Linked DNA regions of Oryctolagus cuniculus. The protein of the gene in region 5 interacts with the protein of the main gene of each other region in a biochemical or structural test. Links are inferred from orthologs where the notes say so. Each region holds a gene or a part of one and is shown on either strand. Other genes may lie near its edges.

Region 1 (4,075 bases), on a different chromosome or scaffold from region 5:
GTGTGCATGTTGGTGTGTGCATGTGGCTTGGTGGGCTGTGCTGGTGCGTGTTGGTGTGTGTGCGTGTCTTGGGGGCTGTGCTGGTGTGTGTGTGTATTGGCGTATGTACGTGACTTGGGGCTGTGTTGGCGTATATGTGCGTGTTGGTGTGTGTATGTGCCTTGGGGGCTGTGTTGGCATGTGTACGTGACTTGGGGGCTGTGTTAGCGTGTGTGTGCATACTGGTGTGTGTATGTGGCTTGGTGGGCTGTGCTGGTGCGTGTTGGCGTGTGTGCGTGCCTTGGGGGCTGTGTTGGCGTGTGTGCATGCCAGGCGTGCTCTGGAGCGTGGCACCTGCTTCCTCCTCGGGCAAGCTCCTCACCAGCGGGGACCTCTCTCCCGTCTCCTCCAGGCCCAGCCGCAGGAGGCTCAGCTCCACCTCCAGGGAGCCGTTGGTGTAGAAGCCGAAGCTGTTCAGCTGGATGTCCGCTCGCTTCTCCCCCTGCCGGAGACCAGGGAGGCAGCTCAGACTTCCGCTTCCCGCCTGCCACGGGGCTCTGGGCCCCAGTGCTTAGACAGCCCGGGAGCGAGTCAGGAGAGGCCGTGCCGGGGGACCGAGGACAGCGTGGCCCTGGATGCCCTGAGCGCGGACCTGAGCGTCCAGGAGGACAATCGGGGGGCGCCTGGACGCCCCCCGCTGCGGAACGAGCCCGGGACCCCAGGCAGCGTCCAGGGACCCCCACCCCCTCGGTCCTCGAGCGGCGCCAGGGCTCCCCAGCGTCTCCAAAGCGGCCACAGGAATTTAAAGGGCTAAGAGCCGGGGGAGGGGGGGGTCCCAGGAGATGGCGCCCCCCGCCCCCCACCATCCCGGCGGGGCCGGCCAGGCAGCTCCATCCGCAGGGAGAGAGGGGGATCTCGGGACGGGACCACTCGCCCGGCAGTGGGGGGCGCCGGGCCGCTCCATCCCGCAGAAGGTGCGGGGGAGGTCGGACGAGACCACTTAAGCCGGGGGCTTCTCTGGGACAGCCTCGCGCCCCCCGCCCCCGACCGTCCCGCGGCGGGCCTCACCGTCAGCGCCAGCCGGTGGATGCGCCCGGAGCAGCTGCCCCACAGCAGCAGCAGCAGGAGCCCCTGCCCCCACTCCGCGGGGCTCCCGCGGCCGAGCCCCCTCCTCTCGCTCCCTGCCATCTCTGGAGCTGCCGCCTCCCCTGACACCGCCTCTGACGCCCCCAGGCCCGCCTCCGGGGGAGCCAATCGCCGCACGGTGGGGCCAGGCTCTCCGGACTTTCCAGCCCGTTGAACCAATCATCGATGGCCTCTTCTCAAACCCGCGCCTACGTGACACCAGACGGACAGCACCAGTTCCGAATGGAAGACGTGATACCACGTAGCCCCGCCCCCACGCTCACCAATCACCAGAAAGATCGTCCCGGATATAGCATGATAAGCAGTCCGCCTAACCAATTAGAGCGCAGCTGGCATCCTGCTCTTGAAGCGGAATTCCTCCACCTAACTCTTAACGGTCTAAGACTACACTACCCAGAATGCAGCCAGGAACAGACGAGGGCCACCGAGCACCCAGAAACTACATTTCCCAGCACGCCCCAAGGTCGGACTTCCGCTTCTCACCCTGTGGGACGTGGCTCCCGGCCAGAGCTCTGGCTCTTGGTAAACACACGCAGTCTGTTGAGGCCTGTCCCGTTCTCCTAATCTTCCTGGTCCACGGAGGTTACATCGCGACCCGAGGATGACCTGTGACCTATGACCTCCGCCTCCGCCTCCGCACGAGGACACTGGAGGCTCACTCCGGATCCCCGACGGTTTCCCCTAGCTGCAGCCGGACCCCGAGTTCAGCCTAAAACCTTGGCTCTTCCCCCGCCCCGCCCCGCCCCGCCCAGCCTTTGGGGCTGAGACCCCCGCCCCAACCGTGGTGCTGACCTGGGCTGGGTGTCCCACCAGAGCCGAGCCCCGGTCTCACACGGAGCCGCGAAACCAACCCACCGGGTGCAGCCGCCGGCAGGTGTCCCTGCGCCCTCCGGTCCCTCTGGGGCCCAGACCCCACCCCTGCAGCTCCAGAGAAGGCAGGAGCTGGGGGCCGGGGGCCCGCAGGGCCGCTCCCTTTTATCCTGGCGCCTCGAGGGGACTTACGAGATGCGGACCCTTCTAGGGGGGGGAGGGCGCGGGCGTCCGGGACTCTCGGGGGCCTCGGTGGGCGAAGCTGGACAGTGGGCAGGTGCAGGCAGACTCGGGCCGGAGGGAAAAGCCTGGGCCCCGCGTCCCAAGGACAGCCCGTCCTCGGGTTCCCCTGGGGAGGGAAGGCAGGATGCGGTGGGGGCGCTAATGGACCTGGCAGGATCGAAGTCCTCCATCCGCCCTGCGGCCGGAGGGACCTGACCATTAGTGGGACGAACGTCCACGCCTGGAGCCGGGCCGGGGTGACCTCGGGTTCTGCCTGCAGCACCGTGCAGGGACGACTTCTCGGGCTTGGGGCTTTTCCTGTCCGGGTCCTTTAAGGAACGATCGAAAGGAAAGGCCCGTCTGGGGCGGGGGAGGGGCGTGGTGGGTGGAGAGGGGCCCTCGGGGATTTGAAAATGGGCGGGGGTCCTTTTAAGAGGGGGCGTGGCGCCCTTTGGGCCCCGCCTCCCCGGGCCCCGCCCGCGGTCTCCGCGCAGGGCAGGGGGCGGGGAAAAGCGAGCGGGGGCGTGTCCCAGCCGGGTGGGCGTGTCCGGGGCGGGCGGGGCGGGGTCGGCGCGCCGCCCCGGGCCGAGTCTCGGGGCGGAGGGTGGCGGGCGGCGGCGCCGGCGGCGGCGGGAGCAGCATGGATTGGGGCACCGAGTTGTGGGTGAGTCCGATCGGCGCCTCTCCAAGTTCCGTCTGCTCGGGTTCGGACTCCCCCTCCCCTTTTGTCCCCAGCGGACCCCAGCGGGGGCTGCGGGGGGGCCTCCGCGCTTCCCCTCGCACCGAGCCGAGGGTCTCTGGGCGCCACCGACGCAACGAGTTTCTGGGGGGCGTCACGGAACCCCCGCGGCGGGGGGCGAAAACCCACCTCGCAGGGCGGCCCGGGGAAACTGAGGCACGGGGCCGCGAGCGCGACGGGCCGGAGTCCCCAGGCCAGGCCGGGGCGGCCGGGCGAGGTCACCTATTTTGGGCGTCCCGGCGCGGCCCGCGGCTTATCTTACGGCCCCTGGGTCCCTGCCCGCCGCCCGCCTGTCCGGCTGGCCGTCCCGTGTCCCACGTGGGCCCCGCCAGGGCCGCCCACCTCCCAGGAGCGCCCGGGAGGCTGAGGGCGCCCTCGGAGGGGGAGGGGGCTGCGAGCCCGGGCCCCAGCGATCTTCCAACCCTGCCCTCCCCGGGCCCGGGAAGCCCCAGGGTCGCTCCAGGTCCGGGCCGGACCTAAGACCCCTCCCCTCTCCGGGAGCGGCGAGTGCCTGCGTCTCCGCCCGCACCCTGGTCCCGCACCGTCGGCTCTTCTCCGGGAGCCCGTGGGGAGATGGAGGCGCGCGTGGGGTGCGGCGGGGGGCGCTCGGGGCCTGCCCCCGGGCCCTGCGGGCCCCCAGCTAGCGGCCAGGGATCCCTGCCCTGACTCACGCCGGGCAGGCCGGATTTTCCGGAATCTGGGGGGGATTAGGGGAGCCGGGCGCGCGCGGGGCGGGGGGGTGGACGGTTGTGCAGGGGAGTGGCCTCGCCCCGCTCCACGCCCCTCTCGGCCGCTCGGAGACGGAGACCCCGTCGTCCGGCTGGGGCCCTTTCCCGGGAAGGGGAGGGGGTTCCCGCCAGTTTCCTGCCGGCCCCCGCGCCACTCCGGGGCGGTGCCTGGAAGCCCCTCCTCCGCCGAGCGCGGGGGCCCTGGAGCCGGGCGCGCCGCGAAGTCCCTAGGTCGCGACCCGGGCCCTGCCGTCCCCTCCCCCCCGCCAGGATCAGTTCGAGGTCCTGGAACGCCACACGCAGTGGGGGCTGGACTTGCTGGACCGATACGTAAAGTTCGTCAAGGAGCGCGCCGAGGTGGAGCAGGCGTACGCCAAGCAGCTGCGGTGAGACCCGGAGGGCTGGAGACCCCGTGGCCCGGCCGGGCCGGGTAGGGGGCGGCCGCGGCTCA
Region 2 (4,117 bases), on a different chromosome or scaffold from region 5:
GCACCAAAGATCAGCAATTAAGGCTTAGAATATCGTCATCCGGTTGTTGATGAGGTTGGGATTAACTTTAAGTCTGTGAATGCTTCTCTTTTTACTAATTATCTCTTTCTTTTCTTTCTCTCTCTCTTTCTTTCTTTCTTTCTTTCTTGCTTTCTTTCTTTCTTTCTTTCTTTCTTTCTTTCTTTCTTTCTTTCTTTCTTTCTTTCTTTCTTTCTTTCTTTCTTTCTTTTCTTCTCCTTCTCCTCCTTCTTCTTTTTTTGACAGGCAGAGTTAGACAGTGAGAGACAGAGAGAAAGGTCTTCCTTCCGTTGGTTCTGCTCCCTAAATGGCTGCTACGGCTAAAGCTGCGCCGATCCGAAGCCAGGAGCCAGGTGTTTCCTCCTGGTCTCCCATAGGGTGCAGGGCCCAAGCACTTGGGCCATCCTCCACTGCACTCCCTGGCCACAGCAGAGAGCTGGACTGGAACAGGGGCCACCGGGACAGAATCCGGCGCCCCAACCGGGACTAGAACCTGGTGTGCCGGCGCCGCAGGCAGAGGATTAGCCAAGTGAGCCACGGCGCCAGCTTTTTACTAATTATTTCATGTGAACACTGTAAACACATCAAAAATGCAGGTAGGGGCCGGTGCTGCGGTGTAGCAGGTAAAGCCGCCGCCTGCAGTGCCTTCCTCCCACATGGGTGCCGGTTCTAGTCCCGGCTGCACCACTTCCGATCCAGCTCTCTGCTGTGGCCTGGGAAAACAGAAGATGGCCAAAGTTCCCCCGTGGGAGACCTGGAGGAAGCTCCTGGCTCCTGGCTGTCACGGCCATTTGGGGAGTGAACCAGCAGATGGAAGACTCTCTCTCTCTTTCTCCTCTCTCTCTCTCTCTGTATTTCTGGCTTTCAAATAAATACATAGAATATTTTTTAAAAAATCATTTACTCGTGTGGCAGAGAGGCGGAGTGACAGAGAGCTCGTATCTGCCAAGGTACTTCCTGCAGGTTAGGCTGGGCCAGGGCTGACGCCAGAGCTGGGAGTCCAGCCCAGGGCGCCCATGTGGATGGCAGGGACGCGATGCCAGTTCCTTGAGCCGCCACTTCTGCCCCGCAGCTTGCAGGCAGGCCGGAGCTGAGCTGCGCACTGAACCCGGATGCGGGCGTCGTGAGCACTGCCGGCCGCGGTCCAGCACATCTACCTGATGTGTTGCTCTATTCTCTCGTTTGCGGCTGGATTTTACTTCACCAGACGGACGTAACCAGGGATGAAGCCAGGCCGATGCGGTTTCACGGCACGCCTCGTCCCGCAGCGCACGGTGGGTGCCGTGCTGGCTGACCGTCAGGTCCCTGTGGCCGCCAGGCCACTGCGAGTGGCGGCTGCCTTGTGCCCCGGCGCAGCTCAGGCCTGCCCTCCCGCTGCCTCCCGCGCTGAGCTGTTGCACAGTTCCCAGTGCCCGGGGCCCTCACCTCTCCGTGCGGTGGTGCAGCATCCCCCGCTGGAAGTAGGCCACGGCCAGGTGCCTGTCCTTGCTGATGCTCTTGGTAAAGGCCTGCGGAGAGGGTGGAGGAGGTCGGAGGCCGCGGGCAGCGTTGGGCAGGGCACGGGTCAGCGCGCCTGTCACTTCCTCGTGGCGTGGCATGGGGCAAGTTCCCTACTCTCTAGCTGAGCCCTAGTTTTCTCCTCTGCATGAGGGGCGTGTTGCCTTTCAAGTTCACTGGATCAGGATACAATGGTTCATTATGAAAATTAAAGTAATAAATAAGAATTTACCCGGAAGGCTGGCAGCATGGGGCTTAGGCAGCCGAGGCAGGGAACAATCCAGACACAGAACGCGCGGGGACGCCCGGCACCCACACCCTCCAGGGCCTGCCCCGGCCGCGCCCTCCGCCGGGGTCTTGCCCGCTGACCCTCGGCTCTGCCTGCGGTGGGTGTGGCCCTGGCTGCGCTCAGGGCCTTGCGAGGATCCGCAGCAGCAGGCAAAGGTGACAGCTGACTTCCGAGACGGGGCGGCGCCTTCCTGCTCCGTGTCTCACGCAATCGCTGCGGTGTTTATGCCCTTGGAGACCCAAGGTGCAGGGAGGAGCGGCGCCGCCGTTTGCCTGGAGCGCTCCTGCTGCCGGACCCGGGGGCGTCTCCCTGGCCCTGACCCCACTGGCCCCCACTGGGGTACGCGAGAGGCAAAAGTACTTTAGAAGGTGCTCAGACCCCATCCCCAGCCCTGCCCTTGGCTGACGCCCTGTCAGTCACGGTTAGCTAGGCGCGCACTGGAGATGCAGCCAGCTCTTGGTGAGCCAGAGGGCCGGGCTGCCCTGGGGGCACCTCGTGGCCGGGACGGGGACAGAGACGGAGACGGAGCGAACCAGTGCCCCGTGGGTCAGGGCCATCACGGCTGAGAAGAGGGGGAAGAGGGACAGCCTGGCCCTGGTCACGGCTCCCGGCCTGGGCTGCCCACGCCCCTCCCGAGCAGCTGGGGAATTTTGGGAGCTGTGGCGCAGGCCCTGCCCAGGCCAGCTGGGCGGGGGCTCTGGGCTAATGCGGAAGCTCCCTGGAGATTTGGGTTCCGTGGCCACCAGCCCGAGGGCAGAGGCTGCGGACACTGAGGAGGTGGGAAGAGCCCTCACTCACCTTCTCTGCCTCAGGCAGGTCTCCCAGGATGGCGTGCACGCAGCCCACGTTGAAGCAGATCCGGGCGTGCGGGTCCTGGACTGCGCAGAGGGCGGCCAGGGCCCCCCTCCAGTCCTCCCGGTCAGCCGCCAGCACCCCCTCATTCCAGAGGCTGATGGCCTCCGCCAGGGACATGGTCAGGTGCAAGCAGGTGTCGGGAGCGGCCAGGGACGGGCGGTGGGGGCAGGACGGGCCCGGCTCCCCTTAAGAAGGCTCTGGTGTTGCAAAGGCAGCGGAAGTGGCCCCACCTTTCAGCCAACTGTGAGAGAGAAGGAACGAGAGGGCGGCGGGGGCGGGCGGGGGGCGGGCAGGGGAAGTACAGCAGGTGCCGTTGTCATGGGTCAGTTCCCCAAAACGCTCCGCTGAGTCTCCGCCTCCTCCTCTGGCTGCAGCCTCTGTGGGGCCCAGGGCAGCCGTGCCAGGGGTGGCTTCCCCAGCTCCATTGCATCCTGGGCTTGGGAGGCTGCGGGGCGGGCGCCTGGCTCCTCCCGGCCTCTCCCGGTCCCCGGCTCTCCTGCTCCTGACCCTGCGACGGCCGTGTCCTGTTGGTTTCATCTTGAGCCACACCAGCGACAGACACATCTCCCGGGGTCCATCTGCACCCGAGGTCACTCGGATGAGCACTCAGGAAGTCCGGGGCGGGAGCGACTGCCCACAAGCGCCTCCGCGTGGGATCCAGGTCGGCCACGAACGGCAATTTCTCCCATTTGTGAGCTGACGGGCTGCGGGCTGCACGGAGGCTGAGACTCCTTGCCTTGCTGAGGGACCACGGGGTCCTGGGGACAGCCAGCGTGACCTAGAGAGCCCCCCGCGGGGTCCTGGGGACAGCCGGCGTGACCTAGAGAGCCCCCCGCGGGGTCCTGGGGACAGCCGGCGTGACCTAGAGAGCCCCCCTGCTCGCTGTTAGGGCTCAGCCCCTGCTTCCTACCGGAAGGAACACACACATTCACACTGCAATTCTCCCAAGAGCCTAAGAAACCGGGGCGTGCGCTCCGCAGGCCGTGCCGGGCGGCGGGTGAGGGAGGGCCGGGGACATGCGTGTGAGCATCCGCACACCTTGCAGGGTCCAGCTGCCCACAGGCCTCGGCCCTGACCCCGCCTCCTCTGCACCTGACCGTGTCTCCTGGGCCTTCGTGTGTCCATCGTGGCCCTCAGCCCCGGTCCACCCACCCCTCCACGCCCTCCGTCAGCGAGGCTGCCCGCCTGACTGCATCTCCTGGGCCGCCCAGCCCCGCCCTGCCTGCCCGCAGTGGGCGCCTTGTCCATGGTCCTCACGGCTCGAGCAGTGAGGTTCTCATCACGCCCGATCCCGGCCCTTCAGGGCCTCCGTGTGGTTCTGAGGACGCCACAGCCGCCGCCCGGCTCGCTCAGCCAGGCTCTCTCCCCTGGCCCTGCCGGGCTGCTCCTACCCATCTCCCACCCCCTCGGGGGGCCCTGCCTGGAGCCAGCACCTCACCGTGCCCTGGGTGAGCCCCG
Region 3 (4,239 bases), on a different chromosome or scaffold from region 5:
AGATAGTGAGAGAGAGAGAGAGACAGAGAGAAAGGTCTACGGCCAGTGCGCTGCACTGATCTGAAGCCAGGAGCCAGGTGTTTCTTCCCAGTCTCCCACGTGGGTGCAGGGGTCCAAACATCTGGGTCATCTTCTGCTTTCCCAGGCCATAGCAGAGAGCTGGATTGGAAGAGGAGCATCCAGGACTAGAACCGGCGCCCATATGGGATGCCAGCGCCACAGGCAGAGGATTAACCTACTGTGTCACTGCGTGGCCCTATCATATAAGTTTTTAAGAATAAAATGAAAGGCTGGGGCTGTGGCACAGCAGGTAAAACTGCCGCCTGCAGTGCTGGCACACATATCGCTGCCAGTTCGAGACCTGGCTCCACTTCTGATCCAGCTCTCTGCTATGGCCTGGGAAAGCAGCAGAAGATGGCCCAAGTCCTTGAGTCCCTGCACCCTCATGGGAGACCCGGAAGAAGCTCCCGGCTCCTGGTTTTGGATCGGACCAGCTCTGGCCAGTGCGGCCATCTGGAGAGTGAACCAGTGGATGGAAGACCTGTCTCTCTCTCTCTGCCTTTGCCTAACTGTAACTCTGCCTTTCAAATAAGTAAATAAATCTTTAAAAAAAAATAAATGAGATCTCTATGAGAAATGTTAACTCAAAATATCAGTATGCAGGGGCCGCTGTTGTGGCATAGTGTGTTAAGCTACCACTGGCATCCCCTGAGTTCTAGCTTTTGATCCAGCTCCCTGCTAATGGGCCCAGGAAAGCACCAGAAGATGGCTCAAGTGTTTAGGCCTCTGCCACCCACATGGGAGACCTACATGGAGTTCCAGGCTCCTGGCCCAGCCCCAGCTGTTGCGGCCATCTGGGGAGTGAACAAGTGGATGCAAGATCTCTCTCCCCTCTCTGACTCTGCCATTCAAATAAATAAAGAAATCTTAACAAAAAGTGATCAGTATGCAGAACATACTAGAGACCGTTAAAAAGAGCTTAACAACTGTGTGATATTACTATCACCATATCATAGTATTTTTGCTTTATATGAAGTACTCTTAACAAGACACCTTTTGATCCAATGTCAGTCAAGGTTAATATACTGGATCTGGGTCTGTGTCTTTTTTTTTTTTTTTCTAGATAGCTCTTATCCTTATCGCTCAAGCATTAATCCAGTTAGAATGAACAGTGCCCTGTCCAAAACAGTGCTTTTCACCACTTACTGACACTTGTACAACCATCATCTCATCTGCTCCAGCCGACAACTTTTGTGAGGCGCCGACACTGGTATTATTATCCCTGTTCTGTCTTATGTGAGCAAATGACACCACATCCTGGATCCCGGAGCTCCTCCACTGGCAGCTTTATACACGGTAAGTCTCATGGCCGGATCTGGTACACTTAGTTTCAAAGGTTCCGTAATGCCTGCAAGTCACAAGAACCTTCCTTGCTTGATGACAACCTAGTTCAAGTTCATGTTTGCAGAAGATATGTCATACTTTCTAAGCCCAACTTCAGGCTGCAGGAGGAAAGATGATCAAGACCAGGAACGCAGTTTACAAAATAAGAGCTAAGGAGAAAACGTGCAAGATGACTCAGAAACTACTAGTCAGAACGTTAACTTCACTAGGTAACTTCCATTAAAATTCTGGCGAAATGTAGCCATTTACAAATTACAAAATTTCTTCTACAACTGCAGAAGCTCTCATAAAACATCAGAAAAAGGAGACATTTTACTGAAAGTAAAAAATCAAGCAGTACTTAAGTTAGACTCCCCCGTTTAAAAAAAAAAAAAAAAGGCAAGGATGGAAAAAGCACCACTATAATGCACTCACTTCACTCAACCAACTGGGAGGCACTGGGACTACCTTAATGAACACAGAAAAGCTGTCTGCGCAGAGCCCCCCCAGACAGACGAGGTCAGTTTCAAAGCAACGTATTAAAGATCGAAACACATTTCTGATTTAACACGGGTTGATCAAGTAGCTTAGCTCTCCAGGGGCAGCGGACGCACCCAGGACATCAAACCCTTTCTCGCCAGGTACTTAACAGGCCGTGTCTGTAAACACGGAGGGACGCAGCTTTTCACGCACACACCCGGTATTTGGCCGAGCTCGCCCGGGGCCGTCTATAAAGCCCTGTTTGCTGTTTCCGTGCCTAACCCCCGAAGGTACGCGGCACGCCACACAAGTCCAAGTTTCCTTTGTTCTGCAACAGGACAGACTCAGACCACCAGTACGGAACCAACGCGGCCCGTCACCGCGCCCAGACCCCGGGTGGAGGGAGGAGCAGACACGGGGGAAGGTTCCATCCCCGGCACAAGCAACAAAAACGGAAAAGCGACGGAGCTGGGGGTGCAAGGCTGGCAAACGCACACAAGGAGCCGAGCCAAGGGCGGGGACCTGAGCCGGGCGGGGAGCCGGAAGGCGCCTCCCAAGCAGGTTCGAGCGCACCCCGAACAACGGAAAACGCCCTGGGCCTCCGCTCCGCAGCAGCCGGCCTTGGGCAAGCGCCCCTTCAGACGTGCGCCCCCAGCCCAGTTCCCGGCGCCCGGACTCGCCGTGCTGAGCCCTCCCAGGCCGCACTCACCCCGGAGGAAGCCTTGGCCTCCTCGTCCTCTTCTACCCTCCAGGCCGGCGACGTGGTGCTGACTGCCAGGTCGCAGAAGACGGCGCCGAGAGGAGCCCGCTCCTCTCGGTCAGCGGTGCACAACCCAGCCTAGTCCCCGGCCGCAGCCCCAGCGGCAGCTGCAGCGGCAGCAGTTGACCCGGACGCAAAAAGCAGCCCGGGCGGAAGTGACAGCATCCTGACCCTTTCTAGGCTCTGCGGGAGGCGGGGGCGGGGCCGGGGCGTGGGGGGGCGCGGCCGGGGCGTGGGGGCGTGGCTTCCTAGTCAAACCCACAGCTTTGCTCCCTCCTCCGCTGTCCCGGGCTAATACCTGCGCGTGCGCACTTGCGGCAACTGGAGCAGCCCTTGGCTTTTGGGTCTCTACTCTCTTTTTTCCGCTTTTCCCTGCGGTGAGGACGCCTGCGAACTCAGGGTCATTGCTATTTTTCTTCTGCTTGTTTTTACTATCGCTACAGTGCCTGTGTTGTATAAAGTAAATGACCCGAGGGGAGGAAATATATGCGAAGCTTACTTTCAGGCATGTAGATCTCAAGGCAGTCTCATTTAGGGGCTGCTGTTGTGGTTCTGATCGCAGGTTCGAGTCCCAGCTGCTCCACTTCTGATCCAGCTCCCTGCTAATGCACCTGGGAAAGCAGTAGAAGATGGCCCAAGTGCTTGAGCCCCTGCACCCACTTGGGGGCCTGGATGAAGCTCCTGGCTCCAGCGGACTATTGCCAGCGGATGGAAGATGTTCTCTCTCTCCTTGTCTCTGTTAACTTTGACTTTCCAAATAAATAAACAAATAAGCGTTCGGCAAAACTTTCTCTGTAAAGATTTACTTCTTTAATTGAATGGTAGAGTTAGAAAGAGAGGGAGAAACATCGATCTTCCATCCCTGGTTCACTCTCCAAATGGCCCAAGTGCTGAGGCTGGGGCTGGGACTGGGGCTGGGCCAGACCCAAGGCCAGAGGCCAGGAACTCCATCCGGGTCTTCCACTTAGGTGCCCCAGGCCCAGGCACTACCACCATCCCCCATTGCTTGCCCAGGCACCTTAGCAGGAAGCTGGATGGGAAGTGGAGCAGCTGGGACCTGAACAGGCTTAACCTGTTTGGCCACCAAGTTGATCCCAAATCCTCTTTATTTTGAACAGCTTTAGAGCAGTGTTTCTCAAACTATCTCTGGAGTGCCATCAGTTTATTATCATTTTAAAAATTTCTGGCCGGTGCCGTGGCTCACTTGGCTAATCCTCCACCTGCGGCACCAGCACACCAGGTTCTAGTCCCAGTGGTGCACACCAAGTTCTAGTCCCAGTGGGGTGCTGGATTCTGTCCCGGTCGCTCCTCTTCCTGTCCAGCTCTCTGCTGTGGCCCGGGAAGGCAGTGGAGGATGGCCCAAGTGCTTGGACCCTGCACCTGCATGGGAGACCAGGAGAAGCACCTGGCTCCTGCCATTGGATCAGCGCGGTGCACCAGCCGCAGCAGCCATTGTGGGGTGAACCAATGGAAAAAAGGAAGACCTTTCCCTCTCTCTCTCTCTGTCACTCTGCCTGTCAAAAAAATTTTTTTTCCAATTGTGAATCATATTTTAATAAAATATAAATGAAATGAAAAAAGGTCTATGAACTCCAAATGAAAATATTTTTATTACA
Region 4 (4,284 bases), on a different chromosome or scaffold from region 5:
AGCCCTCAGACACAAAGTCCTCCTGCTTCTGGCCCCTGAAGTGCCAGCCTCTGCGAGGTGGGCTGCGGGGCTTCTGATCGCCTTGCTCAGCTCTGCGGATGCTCCTAGTTGGAGAGAAGACAAGATTTCTGCACCTTGGTGTCAGCCCTTTCTGCGTCCATTGTCCTGCTTTACCTCCGGGGCATTTCTTGGCTGTCAAGACCCAGAAACAGGAAGTGGGACTCCCAATCAGAGACTCTCCTTAAACCTCCATTACGTCATAGACCAACAGACAAACAAGGTATTCATGACAGGGTCATTGACATTGCTAAGTCATTCAGTCAACATTTCACCAAGGATGTGACTAGTGCTGAGTGTCAAAGGGGTCCCCAAAACAGCAACCTTAAATAATCCCAAAGCTAGTCACCGTTTTCATGCATAATGAGAAAACAAAATATTATGGCCAAAAATAAGTTAGAATTTCAAAGTAAAAGATGCTGTCTGGGCATTTCTGAGTGCCTACAATGTACCCTTCATATTAAAGAAGTAGAAATTCAATATAAATGGTAGCTCTATGACAACAGAGCAAATGGACATATCTTGAGACTTAGTGGCCAGAGCTTATTATATTTAATTTTTTATGCTGGTTTCAGTATCTTTATTAAAAATATTTATTTATTTATTTGAAAGACAGAAATACAGATAGAAGGGGAGAGAGAGAGGGAGAGGGGAGAGGGGAGAGGAGGGGAGAAGGGAGAGGAGGGGAGAGGGAAGAAGGGAGAGGAGGGGAGAGGGGAGAAGGGAGAGGAGGGGAGAGGTGAGAGGAGGGAAGAGGGGAGAAGGGAGAGGAGGGGAGAGGTGAGAGGAGGGGAGAGGGGAGAAGAGGGGAGAGGGGAGAGGAGGGGAGAGGGGAGAAGGGAGAGGAGGGGACAGGTGAGAGGAGGGGAGAGGTGAGAGGAGGGGAGAAGGGAGAGGAGGGGAGAGGGGAGAGGAGGGGAGAAGGGAGAGTAGGGGGAGGGGAAGGGGAGAGGGGAGAGGAGGGGAGAGGAGAGGGGAGAGGAGGGGAGAAGGGAGAGGGGAGAGGGGAGGGGAGAAGGGAGAGGAGGGGGAGGGGAGAGGAGAGGAGGGGGAGGGAAGAGGAGGGGGAGGGAAGAGGAGGGGGAGGGGAGAGGGGAGAGGGGAGAGGGAGAGGTCTTCCATGCACTGGTTTACTCCCCAATGACTGCAACAGCTGGGGTTGGCCTAAGATAAAACTAGGAGCCAGGAGTAGCTTCCGGGTCTCCCATGTGGGTGCAGGAGCCCCAGGACTTGGGCCATCCTCCACTGCTATCCCAGGCACATTAGCAGGGGGCTGAATTGGAAGTGGAGCAGCCAGGTCTCAAACAGGCACCCATACTGGATGCTGGCACTGAAGGCGGAGGCTTAACCTTCTATGCCACAGTGCTGGCCCATTGAATATCTTTAAATTAATTATGTAGTCTAAAGATCTTAGGCAGTTGATGTTGACCAGCTGTACTGTTTGCTTTATGAGCAGGTGGAACTATTTGAGTTTATTGGTTCTCAAACCACTGCCAGATAATTATGAAACAGGAGTTAACCAGCTTAGCTTCTCAGCCCATGTCTCTGTGAAATGATTATGAAGCCAAAAGCTGTCACTTCCCCGTCAGTGCTTTGCTGAGCCCCAGTGACCCCAGTGGTGCTCCCAGGCCACCAAGGCCACCTCTCCCACTCTCCAAATATTCCAATGAGGTGCCCCACTCTGCCCCATTCTGCCCAGTCTTCAAAGATTTGCACCCCTCCCCCACCCCCAGCTCCACAGGTTCCAACTAATCTCACTGAAACTTGTTCCAACTAACCTCAGGGAAACTTGCACTTAGGTACTGTATTGCTTATTGGGACGAAGGAGAATATAGGATTGGCCTCAACACGTTTCTCTATTCCTCTCTCCTCCTTGCCTTCTGGGTGGTGGGAGCTCTAATTGGGTTGAACTTGGTGTAATTCTGGAGCCACATTCATAAGCAAAACATAAAGATCCCACACAGCATCGACGACCCAAGAATAAGTGGAAGCTGCTGTAGATATTCTTTTTCTAGTTGCTAGAACAAGGGGTTGACCATTTTAAGATGCACAATCTAGTTAGAACCAATGGATGAAGGAGCCAATTCTTACTTCTGGATGCTGACTTCAAGCTCAGGTAGAAGTACTGAGACACAGTGTGAAATTCCCATTTTCACATGAACATTATATGTAATGCTAACATATAATATTGCATATAAAGTCTTTTTAAAGAAGAATGCAAGATTATCCAGTCTATTCAACTTATGATTTTTTTCTAATTTCAAGCCAAAGGTGTTTTAATTCTCATAGAAAAGTATTGAACAAATCATGACGACTAACTTTACTCATACAACCAGGCTTTACAGATAAGCATCTCCCTGTGCTGCTCTTCACTGGGTTCTACGACAACTCTTCAAGGCAGCTGGGACCCGGATTCCACTGCCCATGCGGCACCTGTGCTGCTGGCCACAACCACACTGCTAGTAAGTGGCCCTCTGAGCCATGGGTCTGGACGACAGCCCATCTTTCAACCACAGGGGAATTACTATTAATTTGTAAAGTAGCATTTGCAGTAATTTTGGACTTGCATCACAGACACACAAAGCTATCCAAATGATGCAAACCCACCTTCTGATGTGGGTGGAAATGGGTTCAGATCTCCAACAGAGCTGCTTAGAAACCAGGCCCACAGTGCTCCTGCTCTGAAGGCACCTCTCCCCTGGCTCCTTCAGTTTTCTTACCTGTGGCTGACAGTTTCAGGGTGTAAAATTTGCTTCAGGTCAAGGCTGGATTGGAATCTTTGCATCTTTGCCGAAGAAGCAATAAGTGCAAATAACCTTGAAAAAGAAAAACACAGCTGACATCCCTTATGCAAGCTGAGTACATTCCAAGACCCAACTGAAACACAGATAGTACTGAACCCTATGTAGACTAGGTTTTTTCCTACACAAACACATGGTGCATCTTAATTTATAAATTAGGGACAATAAATGACAATACCTAATAAAACATAGAGAAATAATAACAATATGCTGTAATAAAGCTGCCAGCATCACTACTCTTGGAGTCATTATTAAGTAAATTACAGGTTATTTGAACATAAGTCCTATGATATTGCAGTAATAAATTTGATATTTATCAAGGTGGCTACTAGATGACTAAGGGGCAGGTAGCATATACATGGTGACTACATTGCCTGACAGGATGATTCACACCCCCAGGTAGAGCAAAACAGCAAGGCAGGAGAATTGATCATGCTGCCCAGAGCAGTGTGCAATTTCAACTTTGGAATTCTTTCTTTCTGGGGGTTTCCATTGCATATTTTCATGCCTTGATCAACAGCAGGTAACTGAAACCACAGAAAGTGAAACTGGCTAAGCAGGGACTGCCACATGTTGCACTCCCTTGTCAGTGATGTTGTGGCAGGAGCACAGGCCCTGGGTCAGACGGAGCTGGCTGGCATCCTGGTTCTGCAGCCGGGACTAGAACCGGTGTCCATATGGGATGTTGGCATTTCAGGCCAGGGCATTAACCTGCTGCACCACAGTGCTGGCCCCTGTCAGTTTATTTTTAATCCAATTAACTGTACACTCATTGAGCAAATAATCACTAGGTACTTCTCATATATACCAGGCATTGTGCCGAGTGCTGAGTGCTGGTATATAGTACCAAACACTTAAAAAGGGCTCTCTGTGCTCTTTGGATCCAACTATGGAGTACCTTTATTAATTCACTTTCCTGTCTCCAAAAATTAGTAGTGAACATTGTAAATCCACCACTTTGGTGAAGAAAAGTTCTCTTTTTTTCCTGGCCACTTTGAAATGAGGAAATCCATCTCATATGAGCCCACCTATTCCTCTGGTCCTAGTTCCACCCCTCTGGGCCCACAGAAAGGAAGTTGAATCTCTCTGCACAGGCCATCCCTTCCAAAACCGTGCAGACAGCACCCGCTGCTCCCTGAAGCTTTGCCCCTGAAAACCAAGTCCCCAACCTTTCTGCTGCGCCACACATGGCATGGTCTCCACTCCACCCTTGTCACAGAGAACGCTGGACAAAGAGGCGGGGTGGGCACCTGCTTTGGAAGCCAGGCATGGAGATAATGCTCTGACATTTCCAGCAACCACATGAGAGGGAATGGGCATAGCCAGACACTGAGGATACCTGACGAGTATCAGATGCAGAATTTGGGATGAACGAATCAGCCGGATATTAACCGCATGGAGGTGGAATAAAAATAGGAGCATTTGG
Region 5 (3,500 bases):
AGCAGATGAAGATCTGTCTGTCTGTCTCTCTAATTCGGCCTTTCAAATAAATAAATTTTTAAAAACAAAAACACATATACACACATACCAATCAACCCTATCTTATTTTAATTAGGCATGAATGCTTATTGTTCAAACTTCAAAGCACCAGAACTAGTGAGAAGTAAGCACTCTATGCTAATTCTTCCCTTTGCCCCAGAAGGGTGCTCAAAGGAGGGAAGCAGCACTACCATAAAGGTGAAGATGATGACACCAGGCTAAGTCCGTATAATTCTCACTCCAATTAGTCTAGCACTGCTCCCTACCCTCAGAATCGGAGTTTCCCATCAATTGCATCATTTGGAAATGAACAGGAGGACAGAGAATCCACATGAGGAAGGAAGACCTCCAAAAACACAGGAACAGACATTCTATAAAGCAGGCCTGAAGACTGTGGCAGAAACAGCCAAGGCAGCCTTCTTTGACATGAAACTCAGTTATTGTCATTCATTCCTTGTTCCAATTAACTACCCCAGAAACAGCATAGCATCAAGTGTCAGACTGGCAAGAAAAAAAATCAGACATATTTAAATAAAATTTTAGGTCTTTAGGGAAAAAAAATCATTCATATCCCCTCTTGCTGGATTGTGCTTATCTGAACCTCTCTTATAAATCTTGTGTTTTGCTTTGAACACAACCCTGGGAACGCTTCACACAAGAGTTTTAGAGATCAATAATGTTTTCCATAAATACAGACAGTTCTGGCAGAAGAACATACAACACAAAGTTGGTCATATTCTTTCTGGGTAGTTTTGATCACTGCTGACCACATTAAAAATAACCCATTAGAAAGCATCCCTGTATCTTAATGCTCTAAGAAATAACTCAACCATAAACACACATGGAGTTTCACACAGTCCTTACCTGTGTGAGCGCAGAACACTCCACATACTTGACAGCCTTCAGATCACGGGCCAGCTTTTCAGCCGTCTCTGGAGTGATAGGCTTCTGTTTGTTCTTGGCAAGTTTCTCAATAGTAGAGGGGTCATCTCTGAGATCAATTTGGGTCCCGACAAGCAAGAAAGGAGTCTTTGGACAATGGTGAGTTATCTCAGGCACCCACTAAAGAAAATGTATTTTGAAAAATACACCTTCATTAATCCACAAGTCTCTAAAGCTATCTGCAACAGGTCAATAGCAATTCTGTGATAGCCTTTCTCAGTGAATGGTATCTGATCAACTTACCTTTTCTTTCACATTTTCAAATGAGGATGGAGAAACCACTGAAAAACACACTAAAAATACATCTGTTTGTGGATAACTCAGCGGCCGTAATCTATCATAATCCTCTTGCCCTAGAAAAAAAGTTGGAGAAGTCAGCAACTAACTCTTGGTGTTCTCACAGTATTAAAACCACAAATCAGTCAACTGATCAAGTATGCAACTTAATAGCATTCAGATAATTAGCCAGAAAGCAACTTATCTGATGAAACATTTGGCTGTGTAATATAATATTTGGGCAATATTCTCACTTGGCTAATTCCTTTTATTATCAAGAACTCAGACAGCAACCAACTTCCTATTAAATTATTTGCTTTCATTACCAGTTTGCAGTTTTCAATTTTTGTGCCCGTTAGTGACCTAACAATAGTTCACAACAATAAACTGCTACAGAAACAGTTAAAAATCCATCCTAGTCAGATCCAGCTAAGAAACAATCACAGTGTAGCCATCTAAAGGGAACTGCTATCAAAGTTATTGTACATCATGACCACCAAAGCAGGCTACATGTTTAGTTTCTGCGTGCATTTCAGACCAATATCCGAAGCAGAGCCCAGGAGGAAAAAAAAAATCTATGGCAAAAATCAATGGATACTCAAAAGAAATAAAATACATAGGAATTAACCAAGGGGGTATAACATCTGAAATACAAAGAAAATTATAAAACATTGCTAAAAGAAACTAATGACATAAAAAAAGGGGAAATGTTCATGGACTAGAAGGCTTAACATTGTTAACCACTTAAAGCACCTTACAGATTTAATCCAAACCCTATCAAAATCCCTTTTTTTTTTTTTTTGCAGAAACAAAAAACTCATTCTAGAATTCACATGGAATCTCAAGGACTCCGAAGTAGTAAAAACAATCTTTTTTAAATACAGATGTTTTAATTTATTTGAAAAACAGAGTACAGAGAGGGACACAGAGAGATCTTCTATCCTCTGGTTCACTCCCCTGATGCCCACAACAGCCAGGGCTGGCCAGGCTAAATCCAGCAACTCCATCCAGGTTTCCTACATGGCTCAAGCACTTCAGCCATCATCTGATGCTTTCCAGGTAGTTTAGCAGGGAGATGGATTGGAAGTGGAACAGCCAAGACTCAAACCAGCACTCAGATATATGTATATATGCATATATATGTATATGTATATATGTATACCAAGAAGTAGCTTAACCCACTATGCCACAACATTGTGCCAGTTAAAACAATCTTTAAAAAAAAAAACAGAGGGACCCACACTTCCTGATTTCAAAACCTACTATATAAGGCTACAGCAGTCAAAACAGTGTGGTGCTGGCATAAGGTAGACATACAAGGGTCTACTTCAAAAAGTTTGTGAAAAAAATGAAACTAAAGTTTATTATGCTCTAAAAATTTTAACTCACATATTTCTTCATAACACATAATTTTCCACACAATATTTGAAGCCCATGAAACTTTTTGGACTTGATGGTCATACAGACCAAAGTAGAGCATGGAACCTATGAACAAATCCTCACATATACCACCACATTACATGTGACAAAGGAGCAAAGACCATTCAGTGATGAAAGGACAATCTTTTCAAAAAATAGTGCTGGGAAAGCTGAATAGCCAAATGCAAAAAAAAAAAAAAAAAAAGTTGAACCCTTACCTAACACTATACATAAAAATTAACTCAAAAATGGATCAAGGGGCCAGCGCTGTGGCTCAGCAGGTTAAGCCATCACCTGCAGTGCTGGCATCCCAAATGGGCACCAGTTCAAGTCTCAGTTGCTCCACTTCTGATCCAGCTCTCTGCTATGGCCTGGGAAAGCAGTGGAAGATGGCCCAAATCCTTGGGCCCCTGCATCCACGTGGGAGACCTGGAAGAAGCTCCTGGCTTCGGATGGGCGCAGCTCCGGCCGTTGCAGCCATCTGGGGAGTGAACCAGCGAATGGAAGACCGATCTCTCTCTCTCTCTCTCTCCAATACTGCCTCTCAAATAAGTAAATAAATCTTTTTTTAAAAAAGGATCAAATACCTAAATGTAAGAACTAAAACTAAAAAAACTATCAGAAAACATAAGGGAAAAGTTCATGTTACTGGATTTAGCAATGATTTGTTTCCAGTGTAACACAGGTAACCAAAGATAAAACAGACAACTTAAGACTTCACAAAAATTTAAAAATGTATGTTCCAGAGTATCAATGTAGTAAAAAGGTAGTCTACAGAATGTTTTTACAGACTTGCTTATCATCTCTCTGATAAGGGATTAATA

The links.
Region 1: the proteins of CDC42 (region 5) and TRIP10 form a complex in vitro, tested with the Homo sapiens proteins (3 studies listed by BioGRID and IntAct). The link is inferred for Oryctolagus cuniculus from reciprocal best matches to the Homo sapiens genes CDC42 and TRIP10.
Region 2: the proteins of CDC42 (region 5) and NCF2 form a complex in vitro, tested with the Homo sapiens proteins (2 studies listed by BioGRID and IntAct). The link is inferred for Oryctolagus cuniculus from reciprocal best matches to the Homo sapiens genes CDC42 and NCF2.
Region 3: the proteins of CDC42 (region 5) and BNIP2 form a complex in vitro, tested with the Homo sapiens proteins (2 studies listed by BioGRID, with this or other methods). The link is inferred for Oryctolagus cuniculus from reciprocal best matches to the Homo sapiens genes CDC42 and BNIP2.
Region 4: the proteins of CDC42 (region 5) and CDC42EP3 form a complex in vitro, tested with the Homo sapiens proteins (2 studies listed by BioGRID). The link is inferred for Oryctolagus cuniculus from reciprocal best matches to the Homo sapiens genes CDC42 and CDC42EP3.

The regions. Positions count from the first base shown.
Region 1 is NC_091447.1:60,901,275-60,905,349, forward strand, and holds the start of TRIP10 (cdc42-interacting protein 4), read left to right. Parts: upstream 1-1,275; 5' UTR 1,276-1,290; coding exon 1,291-1,647; exon of another isoform or gene 1,648-1,810; intron 1,811-1,917; exon of another isoform or gene 1,918-2,480; intron 2,481-2,696; exon of another isoform or gene 2,697-2,797; coding exon of another isoform or gene 2,798-2,821; intron 2,822-3,894; coding exon 3,895-4,010; intron 4,011-4,075. Other genes in the region: protein GPR108, read right to left, coding at 362-481, 1,048-1,167. UniProt on the Homo sapiens protein: Required for translocation of GLUT4 to the plasma membrane in response to insulin signaling. Required to coordinate membrane tubulation with reorganization of the actin cytoskeleton during endocytosis.
Region 2 is NC_091444.1:1,499,472-1,503,588, forward strand, and holds the start of NCF2 (neutrophil cytosol factor 2), read right to left. Parts: upstream 2,801-4,117; 5' UTR 2,777-2,800; coding exon 2,603-2,776; intron 1,527-2,602; coding exon 1,444-1,526; intron 1-1,443. UniProt on the Homo sapiens protein: Subunit of the phagocyte NADPH oxidase complex that mediates the transfer of electrons from cytosolic NADPH to O2 to produce the superoxide anion (O2(-)).
Region 3 is NC_091443.1:82,563,320-82,567,558, forward strand, and holds the start of BNIP2 (BCL2/adenovirus E1B 19 kDa protein-interacting protein 2), read right to left. Parts: upstream 2,801-4,239; 5' UTR 2,573-2,800; intron 1-2,572.
Region 4 is NC_091433.1:165,017,009-165,021,292, reverse strand, and holds the start of CDC42EP3 (cdc42 effector protein 3), read right to left. Parts: upstream 2,801-4,284; 5' UTR 2,778-2,800; intron 1-2,777.
Region 5 is NC_091438.1:148,692,289-148,695,788, forward strand, and holds part of CDC42 (cell division control protein 42 homolog), read right to left. Parts: intron 1,335-3,500; coding exon 1,225-1,334; intron 1,102-1,224; coding exon 904-1,101; intron 1-903. UniProt on the Homo sapiens protein: Plasma membrane-associated small GTPase which cycles between an active GTP-bound and an inactive GDP-bound state. In active state binds to a variety of effector proteins to regulate cellular responses. Involved in epithelial cell polarization processes.